Linked DNA regions of Macaca fascicularis. The protein of the gene in region 3 interacts with the protein of the main gene of each other region in a biochemical or structural test. Links are inferred from orthologs where the notes say so. Each region holds a gene or a part of one and is shown on either strand. Other genes may lie near its edges.

Region 1 (4,148 bases), on a different chromosome or scaffold from region 3:
TTGATATCTATACGTCTTTTTAGATAAATAGACCAACTCTTAATCATACTGGGGATGTTTCTATTTAAAGAATCCCTAATATTTGTATATGTGTGAATTTTTTATACAACAAATCAATGGATTTGATCGTATTTTCATATTTCCGATGCATATTACTTATAGTCTCATAATGCAGTAATAAGCATAACACATTGTTCTTGACACTGGTTATTTAACCAGAATAAAAGGAAGATGATTATTTACATAGGTTTAAGAGATGGGGACATTCACCTCATGTGTAAGTTACTCTTATCTCTTTTAATATACTAATGAATGCAAAAGCACACTCTCTAAATTTGCTGTGAACACATTTTATAGTCCTTTAAATGGCTTTTTACCATCTTTAATAAATAACCTGTTAATGAATCATTTTAGGAACAAATGCCATATCTCTACCAGAAAACTATATATTAAATTAAATTGCATATTCCTTTTCTTCAAAAGCATTTTAATTTTTGTTATTTCTCATTAAATCCAAAGCCAGCCAATCCATTTTAGTGGCTGCACTAAAACAATTCATATAGTGTCTTTTACATTCACATTGTATGAATATAAAAAATTGCCCTTTTATATTTTGTTTTCTGATATTTTTAATTTATTTTGAATGATGTACTGAGGGCAGGGGAAATGTATTTATAGCTTCCTAAGGTAAAGATCATGTTCTACTCAACAATTCTTGAAAACTGGTTTGATTCTATAAAAATGGGCCAATTTAAATCTATCAGTCATTCATTTTGTGAATTTTCTCTTTATGTTCAATTTCAATATTCTCTGTAGGGGAAATATGAGGAAATATTATTCCTTTATTTGGGTAGGAATTCCCTCTGTACTCCTCGCTCTCCCTGTAACAAAAGGTGTTGGTAGTAATAAATTCTATGTGTCCATTTTGAATGCATGGTTAATGTTGGGGTATGGCAAAATTCTTATATCCTATTTAACCATTTATTCTAATTATAAACTCTATGCAGCTTAACCCTGTAATTGACATCTGAAGTTAAACTGTAGGCAGGATATTTCTACTACCAAAGAAGATAGTGCTGAGAGCAGAAAAAAGGCAGTAGAATAGAGCTCCATGAGACAATTTTTTTCTTGCTCTTTGTTCTTTGTGAAAAGTAATATCATTTAATTAAAGGGCATAGCTTATCTGAGTGTTCTAGAATTAATCCTAGTATTAAATCATCCACAAAAAGTTAATCTTGCATGTAACGTTAAGCTTTTATTACAGTAATTTCCTAATTTTTTAACTTAAAATTGATTTTCTTTCAAAACTAGATGAGCATTTGTCATCTTCATTGTATACAGTAATTCTTTGCTGCCTTATCACTTTCAAAAATGGTATCTTCACAGTCAGCTTTTAAAAGTAGTGCTATTTTAGTTTATTAGATAGAGTTCATTTAAAATATATAACATGTATGTTCTTATGTTAAACAGCTATGCAGTTATCACATGGGAAGTGTTATCCAGAAAACAGCCTTTTGAAGGTAAGTATGTTTTGACTTTTTTATGCTCAATAACATCATGTTAGTAGGTCACTCTCAGAACTATCTAAAAATCATGTTATTTTAAATCTGCTTATTCATTTTGTGGAAAACACACTAAAACGACAATTTATCAATTGTGAATGCATCACATACTGCAAAATATACTGGGTTAAGGATCCAGTTGTGAATCTGCTATATACTGGAAAATGTACTGGATTAAGGATCAGAAAAACCCAGATTTTAATTCTTGTTCTGACAGTAATTAACTCTGTGATCAAGTCACAAAATCTCTTCAGTCCTCATTTTTGTCACTTGCATAGTAAGAATTTTAAATTACTATTTCTAAGTTCTAGTCTAGCTGTAAAATTATTTATATGATAATTTAATTACTATTCCCTCTATAAAGACTAGCAAATATTGAAGATTAATCTGTCCTTTTTATTCCCTGAAAATATTATTTCTTTATTCTGAGGTTTGTGTAGGTCAGCTTGTTGTGTAACAAAAAACAACCTTGGAATCTCCATAGCTTATGAAATAAACATTTATTTCTCATTCACATTAAATATTAGTTGCTGTAGCCCTTCTTAGTTCGGCTAGGTTTTGCTCAGCTCTGCTTTACAAATATTCTGTTTACCAAATCCAATCATATGGCCAAGCCCAGAATTAATGAGGTGAGGATATAAACTCCTTCCATAGGAACAGACAAGTCTGGCAATGGTTTGGGATATATATATTCCTTTTACAGAAAGGGGGATAAGACATTATTCCTAAAATTTTAATATTCACTTATTTTCTTTTAGTTAGTTTTAGATGTAAGTAATATGCTGAATCGTAATATATTTCTAATGAATGCAATCTATTTGTTTTGACAGATGTCACCAATCCTTTGCAGATAATGTATAGTGTGTCACAAGGACATCGACCTGTTATTAATGAAGAAAGTTTGCCATATGATATACCTCACCGAGCACATATGATCTCTCTAATAGAAAGTGGATGGGCACAAAATCCAGATGAAAGACCATCTTTCTTAAGTGAGTATATAGTTTTAACATGGACTCTTTGAATTACAGAATTAGTTAATATACTGTGAATAAAATATTCCTTGAAAAATTGTGCAAATTAGATGACTAGCTAGAAGTTGTTTAAATTATTTTCCGACTTATCATAGCATTTATATATGAGTAACTCCTTCTAGAGCAGAACTGAGAATTCCTAACAAAAAAGAGAAATTGTGTGATAGGAGTAACAATTTCCTTCATATATTTAACAAATATGTCTTGAACCCCTACCATGCGCTGTGTATATACTGGAGTAAGCCCTGGGAACAGAGTAGTAAAGAAGACAAACTTTCTGTAGCTAGTTCATATTCTAGTTGAGAAGGCAGAGTGAAAACAAATAAATAAGCAAGACACAGATTGTGACAGTCTTATTAGGAAATAAGCAAGGTAATAGACTAATTAAGGGAGGGAAACAAAGGCCTTTTTCTAGGAGCGAGCATTTGAGGTGAGATTTGAAGCTTGAAAAAGAGCCAGTCATTCAAATGCTGAAGAAAAAGTATTCAGCCAAACAAAACAGCAAGCATAAAGGCTCTGAGCCTAGAAGAGAAAAAGTTTTATATTCTCAAGAAACAGTGAGAAGGCCTGTGTAGCTAGAATATAGTAGGCAAGGAAAGGAATTAGATGATATTGGAGAGGTAAGAGAGAGGCTATTGGCCATCATTAAAAGGTTAGATTTTTATTCCAAGTGGAATGGAAAGCCATTAAAGTATGTTTTGCAGGGAAGTGACATGATCTGATAAGAAGTATAGGTGAAATTCTTACTGCTCTGTGGAAAGTTGATTGGAGAAAGGCAAAAGTAGAAGCAAAGAGGCTAGGAAAGAAACTTTCAGGAATTTTCTAATTGAGGTGGAAATTCTGAAGATAGAAGAGTTACAGAATTAAGATAGTATTTCAGAGGTAGAATGGATCAGACATCCAAATGTAAATGTAGGAGAAAATCTTCATGACCTAGGGTTAGGCAGAATCTTTAAATATGACATCAAAAATAAATAGGATTCATTAAAAAATTTATAATCAGACTTTGAAAACATTGGAAACTTTTACACTTCAAAAGGTCCTATTGAGAAAAGAGACAGCCAGGCGTTTAGTGTCCACGACTTTAGTCCCAGTTACTTAGGAGGCTGAGGCAGGAGGATCACTTGAGCCCAGGAGTTTGAGGATGTATCATAATAGTGCACTGTGATCGTGCCTGTGAAAAGCTACTGCACTCCAACCTGGGCAACATAGCAAGACCTCATTTCCAAAAAGGAAAAAAAAAGCAGAACCACAGACTGGGAGAACATATTTGCATAACATGTATCTGCTAAAGGGCTTGATTCTGGAATATATAAAAAACCCTGACAAGTCAATAATAGGACAGATAGCCCTATTTTAAAATGAGTAAAAGATCTGAATTTCACCAAGGGAGATATACAAATAGCTAAAAAGCACATAAAATGATGCTTAATATTATTAGTCATTTGGAAATGCAAATTAAAACTGCAATGAGTTACCACTTTATACCCACAAAAATAGCTATAATTAAAGACAGAAAATAACAAGTGTTGACAGTGATGTGGCAAAACCA
Region 2 (4,248 bases), on a different chromosome or scaffold from region 3:
TTCTGAATTTCCTAAAAGGACCTAATGTCATTGCACATAGTTATTACATGAAGATAACGAAACGGGGGGTGGAAAGCAGTGCCCTCCGATGGCCCCGAGCAGGAGTTAGTGACAGGGAGCGTGGCTCCTGCAACCACAGTCCCTCTTTTTTTTTTTTAAGACGGACTCTCACTCTGTTTCCCAGGCTGGAGTGCAGTGGTACGATCTCGGCTCACTGCAACCTCTGCCTTCTGGGTTCAAGCGGTTCTCCTGTTTCAGCCTCCCAAGTAGTTGGGATTAAAGGTGCCTGCCACCACATCCGGTTAATTTTTGTATTTTTTATTTATTTATTTTTTGAGACGGAGTCTCGGTCGGTATCCCAGGCTGGAGTGTAGTGGCGCCATATCAGCTTGCTGCAACCTCCACCTCCTGGGTCCCGGTTCAAGCAATTCTCCTGCCTCAGCCTCCCGAGAAGCTGGGATTACAGGCACACGCCACCATGCCCAGCTACTTTTTTTATTTGTTATTTTTAGTAGAGATGGGGTTTCACCATGTTGGCCAGGCTGGTCTTGAACTCCTGACCTCGTGATCCACCTGTTTCAGTTTCCCAAAGTGCTGGGATTACAGGCGTGAGCCACCATTTTGTATTTTTTTTAGTAGAGATGGGGTTTCACCACGTTGATGAGACTGGTCTCGAACTCCTGAACTTGTGATCCACCCGCCTCGGCCTCCCAACCAAAGTGCTGAGATTACAGGCGAGAGGTGAGCCACGGCGCCCAGCCACCACAGGTTCCTTTTTTTTGAGACGGAGTCTGGCTCTGACTCCAGGCTAGAGTGTAGTGGCGCCCTCTCAGCTCACTGCAACCACCGCCTCCCAGGTTCAAGCAATTCTCCTGCCTCAGCTTCCTGAGTAGCTGGGACTACAGGTGCGCGCCTCCACGCCCGGCTAATTTTTGTATTTTTAGTACAGACGGGGTTTCACCATGTTGGCCAGGATGGTCTCAATCTCTTGACCTTGTGATCCTCCCTCCTCGGCCTCCCAAAGTGCTGGGATTACAGGCGTGAGCCACCGCGCCCGACTGACAGGTTCCTCTTAAAGCCTAAACCGTGAACCCCAGGGAAAGGACCTGCAGGTCCGGCCACGCCCAGGCCTCCTTAGCGCGCCAAGATGGCGGCCGCCGCGCCCCGCGGTCGGAGCCGAGCGGTCCCGAGCGCTTCCGAGCATTCCCGAAGTCCAGAGAAACTCCGGGAGCGGCGCGGGCGGGAGCGGCCCCGCCCGGAACCTGGGAGCGGCGACGCCGGCGCGGGGGAGGGGAGGCCGGATGTGAGTGGAGCGGCCATTTCCTGTTTCTCTGCAGTTTTCCTGAGCTTTGGGTGGTGGCCGCTGCCGGGCTTGAGCTTCCAGTCCGCGGAGGGCGAGGCGGCGTGGACAGCGGCCCCGGCACCCAGCGCCCCGCCGCCCTCAAGCCGCGCGCTCGTCCGCCGCGCCCCGAGCCCGCCGCTTCCTATCTCAGCGCCCTGCCGCCGCCGCCGCGGCCCAGCGAGCGGCCCAGATGCAGGCCATCAAGTGTGTGGTGGTGGGAGACGGGTGAGTGCGCGGCCGGGGCCGGACTGGGGACGGCGGGGTCGGGCGCGGGCGGGGGTCTGGCCCGGACTGAGACCCAGGCAGGCAGGCCGCTCGCTGCGGGCTCGCGTAGGCGGTGGGCCTGGGCCTGTATCGCGGGGCGGGGGCCGCGGGCTGGCGCCCCCACTGGACCCTGACTTCCCGGGCGGCGCGTGCCAGGTTCCGGCTCTGGATGGAGGAGGGCCTTGCCGCTCGCCGGCCGGAGGGAAAAGTGAACTCCACCCTCCGGCTTTCTTCCCGGACGCCGCCCGCCGCCCTCCTCGGGAGCGCTCGTAGAGGAAGCGCTCTTGGAGATTTTGACCATTTTTCCAAAAAGGGACTCTTTCTTGTTTTTTGCATGAACCTCTCAATTCGCCTTGAGAGCTGTGTTGGGAACGCGGCGGTCAAGTCGATATTTGATGCATGCTTGATTGTGCGGGCCTCTTTGGTGCCCCCAAACTTTTCTTTAGAAAAACATATTTTTTTTCATAGACCGGTTCTCGCTGTGTTGCACAGGCCGGTCTCGAACTCCTGGGTTCAGGCGATCCTCCCATCCCAGCCTCCCAGAAATGCTGGGATTACAGGCGTGTGCCACCACGCCTGGCTAATCTTTAAAACTTTTTGTAGAAATGGGGGTTGGGGGTCTCGCTGTGTTGTCCAGGCTGGTCTCGAATTGCTGCGCTCAAGTGATCCTCCTGCCTCTCAGCCTCCAAAAGTGCTGGGGTGACACCGCGCCCGGCTTCTAAACTTATTTTCGAGCAGGATTTTTCAACTTACACTTCTGCCACTGTTAGGATTCTTAAAATTGTTGTTTTCGCGTATTCCGTGGAGAAAGTTTTTAAGATGCTGGCTGGGAGGAGCCGGCTGTAAGGGGCACTGTTTTTTCTTTTCTTTCTTTCTTTCTTTTTTTTTTTTTTTTTTTTTTAACGTGGTGTGGTCATTGATAAACTGTTCTTTGCTTAACGCGTTAGGTATGGGATGTAGCAGAACTGGCCCCCTGTGACTCCAGGCATTGCTTTTCATGACTGTCTGTGGTGGTTACAGGCCCTGGAGGAAGACAAGACTTGTCTTATGCAGTTTTTTTCTCCCATAGAAACAAGAATCTCAGTGTAACCCAAGCAAAATCGCGCGTCTCAGCGTTGCTTGTATAGGTTAGTGTTAGCAAGGAAGAATTACTACCAGTTTAATAAAACTCAGTGCAACTGGTACATGTTCCAGTAAAGTCCAAGGCAAGCTCTGGCATCACGGTTAACTGGTTGATATTCTTCAAACTTGTCATTAGGACAGATTTTGGTTCTTGCAATTCAGATGCAAGAAGGATAATTAGACAACTGATTTTTGTAAGATGCCCATCTGTCATATTTGTCTTGGAAATGTGAAATAATATTAATGCCTCATAATTCTGTTTATATAATAACTAAAAATTCTAACTTTCACTTATTTAAGAGTATGTAGGCTATCCAAGGGTTTTTTTTTTTTTTTTTTTTTTTGAGACGGAATCTCATTCTATTGCCCAGGCTGGAGTGCAGTGGCACAATTGCGGCTCACTGCAACCTCCGCCTCCCAGGTTCAAGCGATCCTCCTGCCTCAGCCTCCCTAGTAGTTGGGATTATAGGCATGCGCCACCGTGCCAGGCTAATTTTTGTATTTTTTAGTAGAAACGGGGTTTCACCATGTTGGCCAGGCTGGTCTCGAACTCCTGACCTCAGGTGATCCACCCGCCTGGGCCTCCCAGAGTGTTGGGATTACAGGTGTGAGCCACCGCGCCCAGCCCAATTTTTTTTTTCTTTCTTTCTTTTTTTTTTTTTTTTGAGACAGGGTCTCACTCTGTTGCCCAGCCTGGAGTGCAATGGCGCTCTCTCTGTTCCTGCAACCTCTGCCTCCCGGGTTCAAGCAATTCTCATGCCTCAGCCTCCCAAGTACCTGGGATTACAGGCACACATCACCACACCCAGCTAATTTTATTTATTTATTTTTTATTTTTTTGGTAGAGATAGAGTTTCGCCATGTTGGCCAGGATGGTCTCAAACTCCTGACCTCAAGTGATCCCCCCGCCTCGGCCTGTTTTTTTTTTTTATAAGTCATATTGCTGATAATTATTTGAAAAATGCTGAAACTAAAACATAAGCATAGCAGATACGTTTATTTAATACTAACCGATTAAGGACCTCTGCCGTTTGAATTGGCTGTTTTATCTAGTCAGATAACTTGTCGAATGCCTATCCTGGAATCTGGACCCTCCCTTCAAATACCCACTCCACCGCTTACATGGGGTAACCCTAAGCACATCCCCCACCTCCCAGGAGAGGTGGTTCAGTGGGAGGTCAACAAGAGTAAACAAGATGTTGGTTAACTACTTTGCAGGTGCCCCTTGCTGAGTGCTTAGTAAGTGCCTGGTACTGTTACTGCGGTTTCTACTACAGAGGCTCTGTGAGGGAGTATTAGGTTTAAAAACCTGTGGCCTTGAGTTTTCAGTCTGTGTTTTTTTTTTTAATTAGTTATGAGCATTTGATCAAGCACAGTTTTGTTTTGTTTTTTTTGAGACAGAGTCTCGCTCTGTCGCCAGTTCTGGAGTGCAGTGGCGCAATCTTGGCTCACTGCAAGCTCCGCCTCCCGGGTTCACGCTGTTCTCCTGCCTCAGCCTCCCGAGTAGCTGGGACTACAGG
Region 3 (4,169 bases):
TGCTGCAGTACGGTGCTCGCAGATAAAAGTCTTTCGTTTAAAGATAGTATATAAAAAATCGCGTGTAATTAAAGCAATCATGCCAGTGGGCGTCAGGCCACTGTTTCACAGGCCGCTGTGTTAGGTTTTGTTTTCGGTTGTTTTCTACCGTCGTTGCTTTGAAATTGTAAGGGATTGGCAGAGTTTAAGGGTTTATATTAATGAACTCGTGGTACATTTTACTGCAGTTTTCCTAGTCGCGGAGAGACTTGATATTACAAACTAACGTTGCTGTCTGATTACTGCTGTACTGCTGTTGACAGGGTTTAGTGGAGTACCTTGTCGCTCTCTCTGCCTTTTTCACCAATGTTCCTTTGCCTCCAGCAGAGTGCCAAAGATACCTTTAGGTCAGAAAAGGGGAGGAGAGCAAGGACAAAATGTTTTCCTGTGTGAAAATTTCCATCTGTCTCTAAAGTTGTGCTTTTTAAAGACACGTATAGTTAGTGCTATGGGAGTATGTTGCATTTATTTATTTTAATTAAGAGCTTTTTCAGTTAGAAAGTTGTGACAAATTGCTGGAAATTAAGATGTGTTATCTAAAATGTAAATTATTCTTAGACTTTAGTGAATAAATTGAAGAGTATGTAAGTTCTATTTGGCATGCAAATACGGTTTTCTAAAATACCTTTTGTTTTTTCTTTTCAGATTTACAGCCCTGAAGAATCCTCCTCTCCCTTTCCCCTTGCAGTAATAAATCCCATTTTGGAGATCTCGAAGCTTTATAAAGGGATATAGTTTGAATTCTATGGAGTGTAATTTTGTGTATGAATTATATTTTTAAAACATTGAAGAGTTTTCAGAAAGAAGGCTAGTAGAGTTGATTACTGATACGTTATGCTAAGCAGTACTTTTTTGGTAATACAGTATTTTGTTAGGCGTTTCTGATAACACTAGAAAGGACAAGTTGTGTCTTGTGACAAATTGATTAATGTTTACAGCATGACTGATAATTATAGCTGAATAGTCCTTAAATGATGAACAGGTTATTTAGTTTTTAAATGCAGTGTGAAAAGTGTGCTGTGGAAATTTTATGGCTAACTAATTAAGTTTATGGAGAAAATACCTTCAGTTGATCAAGAATAATAAAGTGGTATACAAAGTTAGGAAGAAAGTCAACATGCTGCAGGAAATAGAAACAAATACAAATGATATTTAACAAAGATAGAAGAGTTTATAGTTTGTGAACTTTAAGCCAAATTCATTTGACATCAAACACTATAACAGGCACAGGTTCAACAAAGCTTGTGGGTGTTGACTTCCCCAAAAGTTGTCAGCTGAAGTAATATAGCCCGCTTATGTAAATACTATGGTGATAAGCTGTGTGAACTTAGCCTTTAAATAGTGTGACCATATGAAGATTTTAATTACTTTTGTTTATTGGAATAAAATGAGATTTTTTGGGGACATTATATTAAAGTGCTTATAGGGAAAGAAGCCTGCATGTAATTTTTTACCTTGTGGCATAATCAGTAATTGATCTGTTACCCAGGCTTCATAGCTTGTAACCAAATATAAATAAAAGGAGTAATTTAGGTATTCTGTAGTTGCTTAGAATTTTGAGAATATAAATCTCTGTGAAAAATCAAGGAGTTTCAACATTTTCAAAAGGGCATCCACCTCTCAGGGCTTTAGGTTAGTATTACTCAAGATTATGAACAAATAGCACTTAGATTACTTAAAAGAGTTACTACAACCCCAAAGACTTGTGTTCCAAGTAGTATCTTGGTAATTCAGAGAGAGACTCATCCTACCTGAATATAAACTGAGATAAATCCAGTAAAGAAAGTGTAGTGAATTCTACGTAAGAGTCTATCATTGATTTCTTTTTGTGGTAAAAATCTTATTTTGTGTGAAGAAATTTCATGTGACTGTTTTAGCTATCAAACAGTACTGTCACCTACTCATGCACAAAACTGCCTCCCAAAGACTTTTCCCAGGTCCCTCGTATCAAAACATTAAGAGTATAATGGAAGATAGCACGATCTTGTCAGATTGGACAAACAGCAACAAACAAAAAATGAAGTATGACTTTTCCTGTGAACTCTACAGAATGTCTACATATTCAACTTTCCCCACCGGCGTTCCTGTCTCAGAAAGGAGTCTTGCTCGTGCTGGTTTTTATTATACTGGTGTGAATGACAAGGTCAAATGCTTCTGTTGTGGCCTGATGCTGGATAACTGGAAACTAGGAGACAGTCCTATTGAAAAGCATAAACAACTATATCCTAGCTGTAGCTTTATTCAGAATCTGGTTTCAGCTACTCTGGGATCCACCTCTAAGAATACTTCTCCAATGAGAAACAGTTTTGCACATTCATTATCTCCCACCTTGGAACATAGTAGCTTGTTCAGTGGTTCTTACTCTAGCCTTTCACCAAACCCTCTTAATTCTAGAGCAGTTGAAGACTTGTCTCCATCGAGGACTAACCCCTACAGTTATGCAATGAGTACTGAAGAAGCCCGATTTCTTACCTACCATATGTGGCCATTAACTTTTTTGTCACCATCAGAATTGGCAAGAGCTGGTTTTTATTATATAGGACCTGGAGATAGGGTAGCCTGCTTTGCCTGTGGTGGGAAGCTCAGTAACTGGGAACCAAAGGATGATGCTATGTCAGAACACCGGAGGCATTTTCCCAACTGTCCATTTTTGGAAAATTCTCTAGAAACGCTGAGGTTTAGCATTTCAAATCTGAGCATGCAGACACATGCAGCTCGAATGAGAACGTTTATGTACTGGCCATCCAGTGTTCCAGTTCAGCCTGAGCAGCTTGCAAGTGCTGGTTTTTATTATGTGGGTAAGAAGCAAATAACTACATTTTATCATTTTATTTTGATTTACATATTAGAACATAATGTGTTTTCAATATTTAGTCTTTTTTTTTTTCTTGAAGGTCGCAATGATGATGTCAAATGCTTTTGTTGTGATGGCGGCTTGAGGTGTTGGGAATCTGGAGATGATCCATGGGTAGAACATGCCAAGTGGTTTCCAAGGTAATTGTTTTGAAAAAGGTATTTGTACAAAAAACTCTGCTTAAAAGAAGTAGGCATGCTTACATGATTTAGTTTACCGTTAAATTATAACAAAGCCTCTTTTGTGCCGCTGGGGAATTATCCTTCTAAAAGATCACATTTTAACTTTAATTGTTTTGTTGAAAAATATTATGCAGTCTTCTGTGTACTTTTGTAAGTCAGTTACAAGTATAGCCATACATTTTATTTATTGCCCGTCTTCTTTTAAACAGTACTTAAGGATTACAAAGACATATAAAATAGATTAAAAAGAAGTTAGAAAAAGGTAAGAACAGGAAAACAAGAAGGGACATAGAATGGATGCAGGAATAAGGCAAATGTAAAAATGCATATATTAAGAGCATATCTTGGCTGGGTGCAGTGGCTCACACCTGTAATCCCAGCACTTTGGGAGGCCAAGACAGGTGGACCACCTGAGGTCAGGAGTTCAAGACCAGCCTGACCAACATGGTGAAACCCTGTATCTACTAAAAATACAAAAACTGACTGGGCATGGTGGCACACGGCTGTAGTCCCAGCTTCTCGGGAGGCTGAGGCAGGAGAATCGGTTGAGCCCAGGAGGTGGAGGCTGCAGTGAGCCAGGATCATGCCACTGCACTCCAGCCTGGGTAACAGCGAGACTCCATCATCTGACTGCCCATTTTAATTGTAATTGTAAGTTTTTTTTTCTGTACAATTTTCTTTTTTTATAATCTGTCATTTACCTCTTTTTAGCCACTTTATCTCTAGCAGTGTCTTTTTATTGTAGCCTAGAAAGAATTTAGGGGCAGTGTTATTAGTAGAAATAAAATTAGAGATTAATTGTGTTTGTAATTGAGTAGCTGTGTGAACTGAGACATCATTTGTAAAATGAGGAGGGGTTGGCCTGGATAATTTTTTTAAAATAGTGATAAAATAGGCATAACATAACATTTACAATCTTAACCATTTTTAAGTGTAGAGTTCTGTGTCATTAAGTACATTCATACTGTTCTGCGATCACACCGCTATCCATCTCCAGAATCTTTGCATCTTCCCAAACTGAAACTGTCTACCCATCAAGTACTAATTCCCCATTCCCCTTTCCCCAGCATCCTGGCAACCACCATTCTACTTCT

Evidence for each region.
Region 1: the proteins of BIRC2 (region 3) and RIPK2 form a complex in vitro, tested with the Homo sapiens proteins (4 studies listed by BioGRID, with this or other methods). The link is inferred for Macaca fascicularis from reciprocal best matches to the Homo sapiens genes BIRC2 and RIPK2.
Region 2: the proteins of BIRC2 (region 3) and RAC1 form a complex in vitro, tested with the Homo sapiens proteins (2 studies listed by BioGRID and IntAct, with this or other methods). The link is inferred for Macaca fascicularis from reciprocal best matches to the Homo sapiens genes BIRC2 and RAC1.

What each region holds. Positions count from the first base shown.
Region 1 is NC_088382.1:99,475,404-99,479,551, forward strand, and holds part of RIPK2 (receptor-interacting serine/threonine-protein kinase 2), read left to right. Parts: intron 1-1,470; coding exon 1,471-1,520; intron 1,521-2,392; coding exon 2,393-2,554; intron 2,555-4,148.
Region 2 is NC_088377.1:45,992,225-45,996,472, reverse strand, and holds the start of RAC1 (ras-related C3 botulinum toxin substrate 1), read left to right. Parts: upstream 1-1,325; 5' UTR 1,326-1,532; coding exon 1,533-1,567; intron 1,568-4,248. UniProt on the Homo sapiens protein: Plasma membrane-associated small GTPase which cycles between active GTP-bound and inactive GDP-bound states.
Region 3 is NC_088388.1:101,358,015-101,362,183, forward strand, and holds the start of BIRC2 (baculoviral IAP repeat-containing protein 2), read left to right. Parts: upstream 1-914; 5' UTR 915-1,942; coding exon 1,943-2,837; intron 2,838-2,933; coding exon 2,934-3,033; intron 3,034-4,169. UniProt on the Homo sapiens protein: Multi-functional protein which regulates not only caspases and apoptosis, but also modulates inflammatory signaling and immunity, mitogenic kinase signaling, and cell proliferation, as well as cell invasion and metastasis.